Canis lupus familiaris: one gene and its partners. The protein of the gene in region 3 interacts with the protein of the main gene of each other region in a pairwise test. Links are inferred from orthologs where the notes say so. Each region holds a gene or a part of one and is shown on either strand. Other genes may lie near its edges.

What was found. The genes of interacting proteins can lie anywhere in the genome.
Region 1: the proteins of WDR6 (region 3) and G2E3 interact in a two-hybrid assay, tested with the Homo sapiens proteins (2 studies listed by BioGRID and IntAct). The two-hybrid records come from large-scale screens. The link is inferred for Canis lupus familiaris from reciprocal best matches to the Homo sapiens genes WDR6 and G2E3.
Region 2: the proteins of WDR6 (region 3) and PTPN3 interact in binary tests that used the Homo sapiens proteins (3 or more experiments, as listed by UniProt). The two-hybrid records come from large-scale screens. The link is inferred for Canis lupus familiaris from reciprocal best matches to the Homo sapiens genes WDR6 and PTPN3.

What each region holds. Positions count from the first base shown.
Region 1 is NC_049229.1:10,064,084-10,068,041, forward strand, and holds the start of G2E3 (G2/M phase-specific E3 ubiquitin-protein ligase), read left to right. Parts: upstream 1-1,151; 5' UTR 1,152-1,181; coding exon 1,182-1,243; intron 1,244-1,905; coding exon 1,906-1,946; intron 1,947-3,958. UniProt on the Homo sapiens protein: E3 ubiquitin-protein ligase which accepts ubiquitin from an E2 ubiquitin-conjugating enzyme in the form of a thioester and then directly transfers the ubiquitin to targeted substrates. Essential in early embryonic development to prevent apoptotic death.
Region 2 is NC_049232.1:64,992,362-64,996,417, forward strand, and holds the start of PTPN3 (tyrosine-protein phosphatase non-receptor type 3), read right to left. Parts: upstream 2,808-4,056; 5' UTR 2,742-2,807; coding exon 2,690-2,741; intron 1-2,689.
Region 3 is NC_049241.1:40,554,860-40,558,370, forward strand, and holds the end of WDR6 (WD repeat-containing protein 6), read right to left. Parts: coding exon 2,300-3,511; intron 2,191-2,299; coding exon 2,107-2,190; intron 2,016-2,106; coding exon 1,899-2,015; intron 1,812-1,898; coding exon 1,693-1,811; intron 1,594-1,692; coding exon 1,136-1,593; 3' UTR 990-1,135; intron 940-989; exon of another isoform or gene 871-939; 3' UTR 826-870; coding exon of another isoform or gene 706-825; exon of another isoform or gene 619-705; coding exon of another isoform or gene 550-618; 3' UTR 463-549; downstream 1-462. Other genes in the region: DALRD3 (DALR anticodon-binding domain-containing protein 3), read left to right, coding at 63-245, 333-446, 550-618, 706-825. UniProt on the Homo sapiens protein: Together with methyltransferase FTSJ1, methylates the 2'-O-ribose of nucleotides at position 34 of the tRNA anticodon loop of substrate tRNAs. Required for the correct positioning of the substrate tRNA for methylation.

The DNA of each region.
Region 1 (3,958 bases), on a different chromosome or scaffold from region 3:
GGGTAGCTCAGTTGATTAAGCATCTGCCTTTGGCTCAGGTCATGATCCCAGGGACCTGGGATTGGCCCGAGTGGGGCTCCCTGCTGAGGAGGATGTCTGCTTCTCCCTCTCCCTCTGCCCCTCCACCTCCCTCATGTTCTCTCTCTCTGTTCTCTTTCAAATAAATAAAATCTTTAAAAAGTTTTTATTCTTAAGTAATCTCTAAACCCAGTGTTGGGGTTCAAACTTATAACCCTGAGATCAAGAGTTACATGCTCTACTGACTGAGCCAGCCAACAGCACCATGCTGTTGAGCAACTTTTCATGTGTTTATTAACCATTCACATATCTTCCTTTATGAAGTGTCCATTCATATTTTTTGCCCAATTTTTTTTATTGGATTGTTTGCTTTATATTTATTGAGTTGTTGGAGTTCTTTATATATTCAATGTACAAGTCTTTGCCAGACACATCTTTTATGAATACTTTCTCCCAGTCTGTGGCATGCATATTTACTCTTAATTATATCTTTTGATGAGTGGAAGCTTTTAATTTTTATGTAGTATAATTTACTTATTCTGGTAAAAGTTTTGTAATTGTACCTTTTACAGTTAGGTCTGTAATCCACTTGAAACTAGAATTTTCATGGTGTGAAGTTTGGATCAAGGTTCATTTGTTTTCCATATGGATATCCAATTTTTCCAGCAGTGTTTGTTAAAAAGATTTTTCTTTTCCCCATTGATTGCTTTGTTACCTTTGTTGAAAATCAAATGACTGGAAAATATTTTTCTTGGCTTTCTAGTTTTGTTCCATTGGTCTATGTGGAATTGTGTATACTAATATACTTTGGAAAACTACATAAAGTGCTTATTAGATATTGGCATACATAGGATAAACCTTTCCTATACATGTTTTGCTAGCATTGGAGATCTTTCTTATAATCAACTTCTAGCTAATGAATGACATTTGGAGGCTTTTCAGCATGATTCTCTACATACTCCTATGGTACTTTTCCCCATCATGTAAGGTTGATGTTCACTTTTAATTCTTTTATATTTATTTTTAACTATGAGAAAGCTCATTTAGGGCAGAATTCTGAGAGTAGGAATAACAAAAATATTTAGACACCTTTTTTTTTTTAAGGTAAACGTAATTATCTTACAAATATCTAGGCAGAACTTCATCACAGTGTCCACCAAGAGATGCCTTGGGTCCTTGCAGTGAGAAGGAGAAGAGGAGGAGAAGATGTAACCACATACAAAATGTAATTTAGAACCTTGCCCATCATATCAGTATCTCTGGAATAAGTGCCGGTCCTATTCAAATATTTATTAACACTGTGCTGAATGATACAGAATTTTACCCTTGGGGAGTTTGCCAGTGTAGCTGAAGAATTTAAAAAATTCAAATAAACATAATACAAAGTAATATGTGATAATGTTTGCATTAAGGTCATTGGTAAAATTTAAAATATTTTTATTATAGTTGTTTGTGTTGTGGACCTGAATCATTATTCTGAATTATAATTTTAAGTTTTAGGTTAATGTAATTACAATAGGGTTTTGTTTTGTTTTTTTAAAATATTCAAATGTCCAGCTGGAAATTTGAAAATTTAGACTATTGTATCTTTTTGGTGCATTATAGGATATCCTGTGATGACCTCTTTCCACTAAATGCCAGTAGTCATCTTAATCTTTTTGACAACTAAAAAACATTCCCTTCAATTTTAACAATGTTCCCAGACTTTAACTTGCTTGTTGAAAACTAATGCTTTTAGATGTGTGAAAGATAAGGAAATTAAGTACTACGGAAAGAAATAATTATGCAACTTATTTGTAATTTTGCAGTGACTAAATTTTATTAAAGTGGATAATTTGAAGCTTTAGAAATTAAGATGGCTATATTGTATGTTCTTATTTCTCCTAGTAAAATGAATGAAAATAAACCTGGTGCCTCACAGAATCTTGGTAAGTAAAATATTTAAGACATTTTCAAAGCTAATTTAAAATATTAAGATATTTTACTCTTGCTTTTTTATTACAATAAAACTTTTTGGAATGTTGACTGAAGGGGCACCTAGGTGGGTCAGTGGTTGAGCTTCTGCCTTTGGTTCAGGTCCTGATCCCAAGGTCCTGGGATCGAGTACCACATCAGGCTCCCTGTGGTGAGCCTGCTTCTCCCTCTGCCTATGTCTCTGCCTCTCTCTGTCTCTCTCATGAATAAATAAAATCTTTAAAAAAAAAAAAAAAAGAATGCTGACTCAAAAAGTAGGAATGAGTTCCTTGATCCATGCTTTGTTCATACATCTGTATACAAAAGTATAATATTATGTGTATTCATTTCAACAAAAATCTGTTGTAAGAGGACAGTTTGCCAAATTTTTTTTGTATCCTCTATATGTATTTTTCAGATATGCTTTGTATCTGAATAAAACAGCATTATTTATTTAATAAACATTTTTTTTCATCTTTTTGTATGACTTTCTTACATAAGGAAAAATGCAGGTGAGACCATTTTAAACACAAAACTTAATATGAAAAGGAAAACTTATCTGAAGGTGCTCATAACAATATCAAATAGATTCAGAGACCTTTGTCTTTGTTGATTTCTTCATTTATAGTTTGTACAGTATATGTTAATTTGCTAACATGGAATGTGAGAAATTTAAATTCTTATTTTATACTCTTCTGCCACTACTCCCCTCATCTATCCTCTTTTTAAGATTTATTTTTTTATTCCTTCACAAATTAAAATATTACACTTAAAACTATCTTAACCTTCACTGATAGAGAATTATTTGTTAACTCTTTATCATCTCTCCATCATACTGGATGAGGAAATTTGTGCTCTTACTTCTCCCTCTGCTTTGCTTTTCTGCTTTTACCTAGCAGCTTCTATCAACTGTGCTAATTGTTCTGAAACTTAGTAATTCATGGACTACCTTCATATATTTGTGGACTGCAAACACTACCTTTACTGTTATTTACTTAATATTTTACCTAAGATTGGCTCAGTTTTTTACTTATATGAATGTGTTTATATCATTATTTTAATACAACCAGTATGATTTGCCATAGTTAAAAGGTGATCTTAATACAATGAAGTCAGAACAATGTTACTGAATTTTAAATATTAAAATTAAAAAACAACTAAGTGCAAATACAAACAAAAGCAGTCTACTTAAAAAAGCATGCCTGTCTATTTTGTATCCAGTGTCTCCATATACTGGGTGAAGGGAGGAAGGGAACAAATGGAAAAGCTGCTGGTCCACAGCATAATAGCAAATGCAGCTCCATCCAGCGCTCATCATGAGTACTTCTGTTCTTCTGTTCTGTAGTCTCAGCTAATTCATTATATTCCTTTTCCCCTTGATAGTTGCATGTACACTAGACGATCTACAGAACTAGAACTAAAAATATAGGCACTGGAGATGAAGGAATTAAGATGAGAGCTGCTGGTATAAGATGTCCAGTAAACAAATGGCAATTTGCTGGAGTTGATGTGGTCAGAAAGAAAAGGAGTTGAAATCTTTTGAAAGATTGACGAAAGGGCTTTCGTTTGTGGCTTATCTTATTAACCTGTAGTGAGGGAGGGCAAATATAGAGGAGGTATTTTACAACATTAAATATTATTAGCTCATGACGTTTTTTTCCAGTCCTGGAATCATTTTGTGAGTAGCTTGTTAACGAACATACCATTTCATGTATAACATCCATTCTTGATTACATGTATTAGTTAAAGGTAAATAAGACTAACTGCTAAATAGGTAAATGCCCAGGTCTTACTGGTTTAGCACAACAAAAGTTTATTACTTCCTTATGTTACTATTCAGTGTGTGGTTTGGTTAGGGGAGTTGGAATAGATGGGGAGTTTCTGCTCCATGCAGAGATTCAAGCTCCTTTCATCTTGTATTGGTTTGCTGCCTTGAGATTCTCAGTCTTTTCTCTTCAGCTAGTGATTTTCTTATTGTTTTATTTGT
Region 2 (4,056 bases), on a different chromosome or scaffold from region 3:
GATCATGCCCTGAGCCAAAGGCAGATGCTCAACCACTGAGCCACCCAGGTGCCCTTGAAATCATTTCTTTTTAATGGCTGAATAGTATTCCATGGAATGAATATACCACATTTTGTTTCCCCATTCACCTATTGATGGTGGACATTTGGATTGCTTCCATCTTTGGCTATTGTAAATAGTGCAGCATATACATGTGTTTGTCTAAGTACCTGTTTTCAATTCTTTTGGGTATAGGCCTAAAAGTGGAATTGCTGGGTCACATGATAATTCGATATTTAATGTTTTGAGGAACTGCCAGACTGTCTTCCTCTCCTTTCTCTTGTGTTTCAATAGCACCATATATTCAGGTGAATTTCTGTCATAGTACAATTAGAAGATGCCTTTAATCATAACAGGCTAGGGATCCCTGGGTGGCACAGCGGTTTGGTGCCTGCCTTTGGCCCAGGGCGCGATCCTGGAGACCTGGGATCGAATCCCACATCGGGCTCCCGGTGCATGGAGCCTGCTTCTCCCTCTGCCTGTGTCTCTGCCTCTCTCTCTCTCTCTCTGTGACTATCATAAATAAATAAATTAAAAAAAATTAAAAAAAAATCATAACAGGCTATATACGTATCTGAGAGCAGGGATTGTGTCTTCTTCATCTGTGAATCTCAGGGGGGCCTAGGACTTCATGGAGAAGGTGCTCAGTAAAATGTTTGTGGGATCCCGGGGTGGCTCAGTGGTTTAGCGCCTGCCTTTGGGCCAGGGCTTGATCCTGGAGTCCCGGGATCGAGTCCTGCGTCGGGCTCCCTGCATGGAGCCTGCTTCTCCCTCTGCCTGTGTCTCTGCCCGCACAACCCCCCACCCCCGTGTCTCTCATGAATAAATAAATAAAATCTTAAATAAAATAAAATATTTGTGGAACTGGATTGACTCTAGGAGGACTAAATACAGTTTTATCCTTGAGGAAAATGTGGTGTATGCGGTAAAGCTTTGAATATGAGTAACGAGCTAAGTGGAGATGGAGAGTGGGTGAGGTGAAGAAGAGCCTGCCGACTCCTTTGGACAAGGGGAAGGGAACACCAGTGTAGTAGAACCAGTTAGAACCAGTCATCCATATGCCTGGCGTCTATTGCTGATTTGCCTTTAGCTAACTCATTATAATTCTCTGGCAAGTTAGAGTCCTTTCTCGGTCGAATGAAAAGGTTGCATATTTTAGTGATACTCAATTTTTTGGTTTCCTTTAAAGCAATGGGCACTGTTTTTCCTGTGAACTCAATGGGGTTGGGGTACCCCTTTGAGGAGACAGAGTTGAGAGGGAGGCCAGAATGCAGGGCACCCTCTATTCCTGCAGCCCCAAGGACCTTGGCAAGACCCCAAGATCCCAAGGTGCCAGCACATTCTGAGCTCCCCTCAGTAGCTGTGAGAGACCTCTGTTCCACAAAGATTAGGAAAGCATTTGTGCACCCGGTACATATTATTCTGTAAAAAAGTTTTCTCCCCCCCCCCCCCGCCCCCAAGCAATAAAGGGGAACTTAAGGATGGAGGCAGCAACGTGAGCAAAGAACAAAAGGTCTTTCTTTATGAAAAGTTCTAGTGAGTAGCGCGCTTGATTAAAAAGAGGGTATCCCACCTCCTTCTCACCTCCTCATCCTGAAAAAAGGAAGAAGCAGAGCTACTGGCGGTTGACTTCGTGACAGAGTTGTCACACAGTTTACATTCCTAACCGAACGGATTCCTGCACCATGAGAGCATTTCCTCTGAAAAATGTCCTGTTCTGAACCAAAGCCGAGCACGTCAAGGGCAGGCTTCGTCTTGTCCTAACCCTCCGAGTTTCCTTTTCTTTCTGTCTCTCTCGCTTTCCTGGGGGGAAAATATCTTAAAAGCAAGTGGGACATTTACACTGCACCCTCGCGTTGCCTTTTCTCTGCTTTTGAGTGAGCCCCTAAAGTCAGGGGTTAGCTGGGTCCCCCCCCCCCCCCCCCGCCCCCGACCGTTTCCTGCCACGCCTGTGGCGCTGGCAGGCCGCAACCTGTCCCCTGGGCAATGGTCACTGCTGACACTCGCCTTGCTTTGGCCTCGTCCGGTTCTTTATTGCTGTGAAGCTCATTTGCAGGCCACACTGCTGAAAAGACACCGCCTGAACTTCCACATCTCTTCTCCTCTTTCAGGTTGAGGCACAGAAGTTACTCAGGCACTGAGATCGAAGATGGTTTACACAGATGTCTGACTTAGCCCAGCACACACGAGGTTCTTAACGTTAACATTCCTACCGGCTGTCATGGAAACATGGTTTGAGCAGTGCGACCACAAACGTTATTCCCATTATTCCCATTCTAGCATTAACTCTTTCTTTCTTTCTTTCTTTCTTTCCTTCCTTCCTTCCTTCCTTCCTTCCTTCCTTCCTTCCTTCCTTCCTTCCTTCCTTCTTTCTTTCTTTCTTTCTTTCTTTCTTTCTTTCTTTCTTCTTTCTCCTTTTCTCTTGTGAGGCTTCCCTTGAAATCCTAGAACTTCTCTGGAAACAGACCTTCTAAACCATGACCCCCCTTTGGGTGGCAAAGCCCTATTATAAAAATAGAAAGGATATTCAGTTTTATTAGGCCTCTGGTTTTCCTTGCTTGACATTTGCTTCCATTCCAGAATGGGCGTGAATGCAAACACCGCAATATTTCCACCATTTCTTTAAATGCTTTGTTTCCAGGAAACTTACGGTTTTCCGGAGAAGGATGCCCGCAGGACGATAATCCCTCTTGCTCGACCATGGTGCCCCGGGACGAAGGGAGCGTGGAATGCCCTAACGCTGCGAGTGGCGCTTCGAGAATGACTTAGAAAGGCCGCAGTCTGTCTGGTAAACCCCAGAACCTGTCTCAGGACTCTTGCCTCGATCGGCTCCCAAAGCATAATGCAACGTGATTATTTTCCTCTGGGGAAACCTGTGAAACAGGTCTTTGAGCTCCATTTAATGTGTCAGAGTTTTAATTGATTCTTTACCTCGGCGATCCACCCCATAATAGCAGCGCTGAGCACAGGACGTGTTTTACGGGAATAGTCACCCAGAGCTTAATTTGTTGTTGCATAGCAGACGGACGATTTCACAATGAAAATAAATCTGTTTCGTGCCCCGAGAATTTCTTCCCGGTGAAGTATGCTCTGTGATGTGGAGAGTGCAGTCCTCGGAAGCCTCCCAGTAGCACTACTGTGGTCGCAGGGAAAACTTGGTCACTGCTCCCTGTGGGCTCTTAAGACCTTTTGGTGGAGGAGAGGGGTACCCCACAACTCTCATCCTTGAGCTCATTTACTCTTGCTTCTTGAATCCCAAGACCGAGGGGATCCACATGTCCTAATTGACAGTCCATGTACAGCAACTTCCTATACCTTATCTCCATCTGTTCTCCTGATAAGAGGAAGGCGGGGCAGATTTCATTATGCCCATTTTACAGATCAGAGAACCGAGTCCTAACGAACCTTGCGACCTGCTCAAGGAACAACAGATAAGCACTGAGCGAGGGCTAGAGAGCAGATACTCTTTTGAGTAATTACTATTTTTCCCTGGAGAACAGCCAGGCCTGCTCTACCAAGGAACTGGCTGCATGCAACACATTTTCCTTCCCCCAACACAATTGGTTCATTCATTCAATCAACAAACATTTGTAGGGAGTGTGACTCTGGGGACTTAGAATTCAGATCTGCCCACAAAGGTGGCTTTCTTCTTCTACAGCTTCAATTGCTTTCTCTCCCAGGCCCTAATTCCTTCTGGTAGTAGAAATTTGTCAATTCTAGGTTTTCTCAGCTGGCTCAGCACTTCCCCAACCCTCCCTTTTTTTCCATGGTTGTATATAAGTTCAAGCCACTGAAAGGAGTGTGTGTGTGTGTGTGTGTGTGTGTGTGTGCGTGTGTGTGTGAGAGAGAGAGAGAGAGAGATGGAGGATGTGTATGGCCTTCAGAGGTCAGAGGTCTTCCCATCCTGGCTGCTATTAAAATGTGTGGCCCGTCTGGTCTTCAGACATTTGGAAAATGCTGGCATTCATTTTTTTTTTTTTTTTGGCATTCATTGTTATGTGGTGTTTTTGTTTGTCG
Region 3 (3,511 bases):
CCATGCGGGATCGGGGCTAGCGGAATTGGGTGTGAAGGCTGCACTCATGCCCCCTTCCTCAGCTTCTCCTGGCCCTGGCCGACAGCAGCATCTCCACAAAGGGCACCAGGAGTGGCACCTTCGTCATGTACAACTGTGCCCGGCTTGCCACGCTATTTGAGGGGTACAAGCACAGCACAGAACAAGGTCTGTACCCCACTTTTCCACCTGTGAGCAGTCTCGATTTCTCACTGCTACAGGATGAGGTGAGTGTCCTCCTGGGTAGCTAGGCACCTGCAGGAGGTTGGGACCTCCCCTCCTAGCACCCTTCTCCCCCCCACCCCCACCCCCAGGGCGAGTGGCTGCTGCTCTTCAATGGCGTGCTCCCTTTCCCAGACCTGCTGGGCCAGACAGCAGCCCTGGCATGTGCAGCCTCAGGGCTTCACGTGACTGCGCGCACTGAGACGGTGAGCCAGAGAAGACTGGGACAGACACTGCACACTCGATGCTTTATTCTGGGCTGGGCACGAGATCAAAGAGACCGGCCAGTGACTCAGTCTCTGTCTCTAGATGTGCAAGTTCCTGGTCCAGCTCAGCATGGATTTCAGCTCGTACTATAACCGAGTACACATCCTAGGGGTAAGTACACAACAAGAGGGGGTGGGAGATTGCAGGGGGGGCAAGGGAAGCAAAGAATGAGACCAGCAGGCCCCTTCTCTCCTCCAGGAGCCTCGACCACACCTGTTTGGTCAAATGTTTGCCCGTCTCCAGCTTCTGCGGGCTGTGCGTGAGGTGCTCCACACTGGCCTAGCCATGCTGGGTCTCCCTCCACTGAGCCACATCTAAGGCCACAGAGACCCCAATATCTAGGAATGTTTACAAAATCTTCACCTGGAAAAAAGATATAAAGATTATAGTAGAGACCTGAAGCCAAAATAAATTGTTTCTGTTACATACAAAGCCCAGCCCCAGGGTGTATTTTTGGCCTGCCGGAACAGCACCTTACTCACCTCTAGCTCCTGCTCTGAAGTCAGGAACCCGCGGCTGCCGCCTCCTCCTCTCAAGGCACACTGGGCATGAGCACAGACGGTCACTCCTGTTCCATTCTGTCTGCGAGCAGGTCCCATGCCCAGCACGCCGGCCACCGCGGGATACCTTAATCATACCAGTTGTAAACCTCAAGCCCCTGGCCCCCAAGAGCACAGCGGTGGCCAAACTCAGGGCTTACAGGCCAGCAGTCCATGTCTGCCACATCTGGGACATGGTACACAGTACTGTTCATGAAGGTGGGCTCACCGTGACCCAAACGCCAGAAGGTCAGCCGTTGGTCAATGGAGGCTGAGACCATGAGGCTTGGGCTTAGGATCTTAAGGCCTGTCACATGGGCAGCATGTGCACAGGGGACGGAATATTCCTCTAGCACATGCAACTGGGGTACCAGATCACCCCCCATGGCTTCTTCCAGCTCTGGCGCCTCCATGGCCAGCACAAAGACATGGAGGGAGCCGTCCTCACTGCCACTAGCCACAAGATGGCCCTCACGTGTGGGCAGGGTGTGTAGGCTGTTGACACCACAGCTATGAGCCTGGACGGTCAGGCAGGGGGTACCCAGGCCTGGAGGAAGAAGATGGTTGTCAGGGCCCAGCCTGCCCCATGGCTGAAAACAAAGTGGGAGGCAGGAGGGACAGCCTTGGCTGCACACCAGCTACTCACGGTAGGGAAGCCCGGGGTCGGCCGGAGGCTCCAGGGCACCAGAGCCATGGTCCAGCACGGTAGTGAGATCCCAGAAGGCCAAACTGCCATCGGTGGCTGCGCTGCACAGGAACAGCCTCCTGGGAAGCAGGGAAGGGCAGCTGGGTCAGTGAAGAAGATGGAAAACAATGGGAGCCCCTGCCCAGCCACCATGCAGCCCCTCTCACCGCCGCTGGTTGGGTGCCTCATGTGTAAAGGAATGGACCTTGAGGACACACCGCTTGTGGTGGAAGGTTTCGGCCAGGAGCTGCAGCCGCCGCCCTGAATCCTGCAAAAGGAAGAGCCTGGGGGGCGGAGGGTGGCTCAGCTCAGAACCCATTCTGGACAACCTTCCAACCTTTTTGTCTTCGCCCAGGGCCCTCTGCTCTCACTCACCTCACTGCTCCATCACTGCAGGCTGCAGCCACAAGGGGGCCGAGACCAGGCCGGTCGAGCTCACAAACAGCTAGGGACATGTACCTGCAGAGAAAACACCCGGACAGCAGTCAGGGGAAGCCTGGGAGCAGCTGCAAGGGGCTTGCCCTGCAGGACACCACCCCATGCTCCTGCCTCGCAGTACACACGTCACCTGGTCTCTGGGTCCACCTTGACCATCCGGTGCCGATTGCGCTGCCGGTCCCAGTACTCATCTAGCCGGTGGGATGAAAGATGCATGACGTGGCAGGCGAGGCGGCTTGGGGTGCTGGGGTCCGGGGTGACCATGATGCTGAAGCAGTGCATCTCAGCCCGGCCCCCCGCAGACACCACATGAGCAGTCAGGCCTGGCCGAGGATCCTGAGGGCCACCTGGGGTACCAATACCCCACACAGCCAGTGCACGCACGGAGGAGATATGGTTACAAACAGCTGTAAGTGCATGGGCCGAGCCAGTGGCTGTGGGGAGCGCCAGGACACAGACGGTAGTGTCCTCACTACACGTGATCACAATGTCAGTCAGACCTGGCCCCTCGCTGCCAGGCTCCAGGTGGTCAGGCTGCATGAAGCTGGGCACCTCATATTCAGGCCCCAGAGTGATGGTGCCCACACGCTTCACACAAGTGATCTCACGGCCATGCAGGCTCTCCCGGAGAATCACATGTGGCCGGGTGCAGCCACCCAGCGCCCGGTAGAGCATGACATCCCCATCTTTGAGGTAAGCAAAGGCCATAGCTGCCTCAGTATCAGAGAAGGCCCAGGAGCGGTGCCCTCCACCACAGTTGACGATGTGCAGCTTTTCATGTGACCGGGGACTCCACACCACAAACTCATTGGCATGGAAACCCAGGATGACCATACTCCCATCAGCCACCATGCGAAGCCCAGCCACCCAGTTCATGCCTCGACAGGACTTCTGCCTTAGGACTGGCTGCAGTTGGCCGCCTCTCACAAAGAGCTGGTAGTAGGCACCATCGCGCCCTGTAGTATACACGTAGCCACCGTGGCAGGTGACTGACGTCACACCCTGCTTCCCATGCAGAGAAGGGAGGGTGGACACAGGGCCCCACTCAGTCAAGGCAGTTTCACCCCCACCACTGCCACTACCTGCTCCAAGTGCTCCAGTGACAGCTCCGGCCTTGCCCCCAACCCCAAGATCCTTGAGCAGAGCTGGTCTGGAGGGAAATAGCAACACAGAGCCCCGGCGGTCCCCACACACCAGGAAGTCACCAGGGGGCAAGAAGGCACTGCATGTGTGCCATCTCTGCTTGCTTGGAGGCAACAGGTACCGGCAACGTTCCTTTACAAAGATGGCTTTGCCAGTGGGCGCGGCTGTGATTTCCAGGCAAGCCACCACACCACCAGGG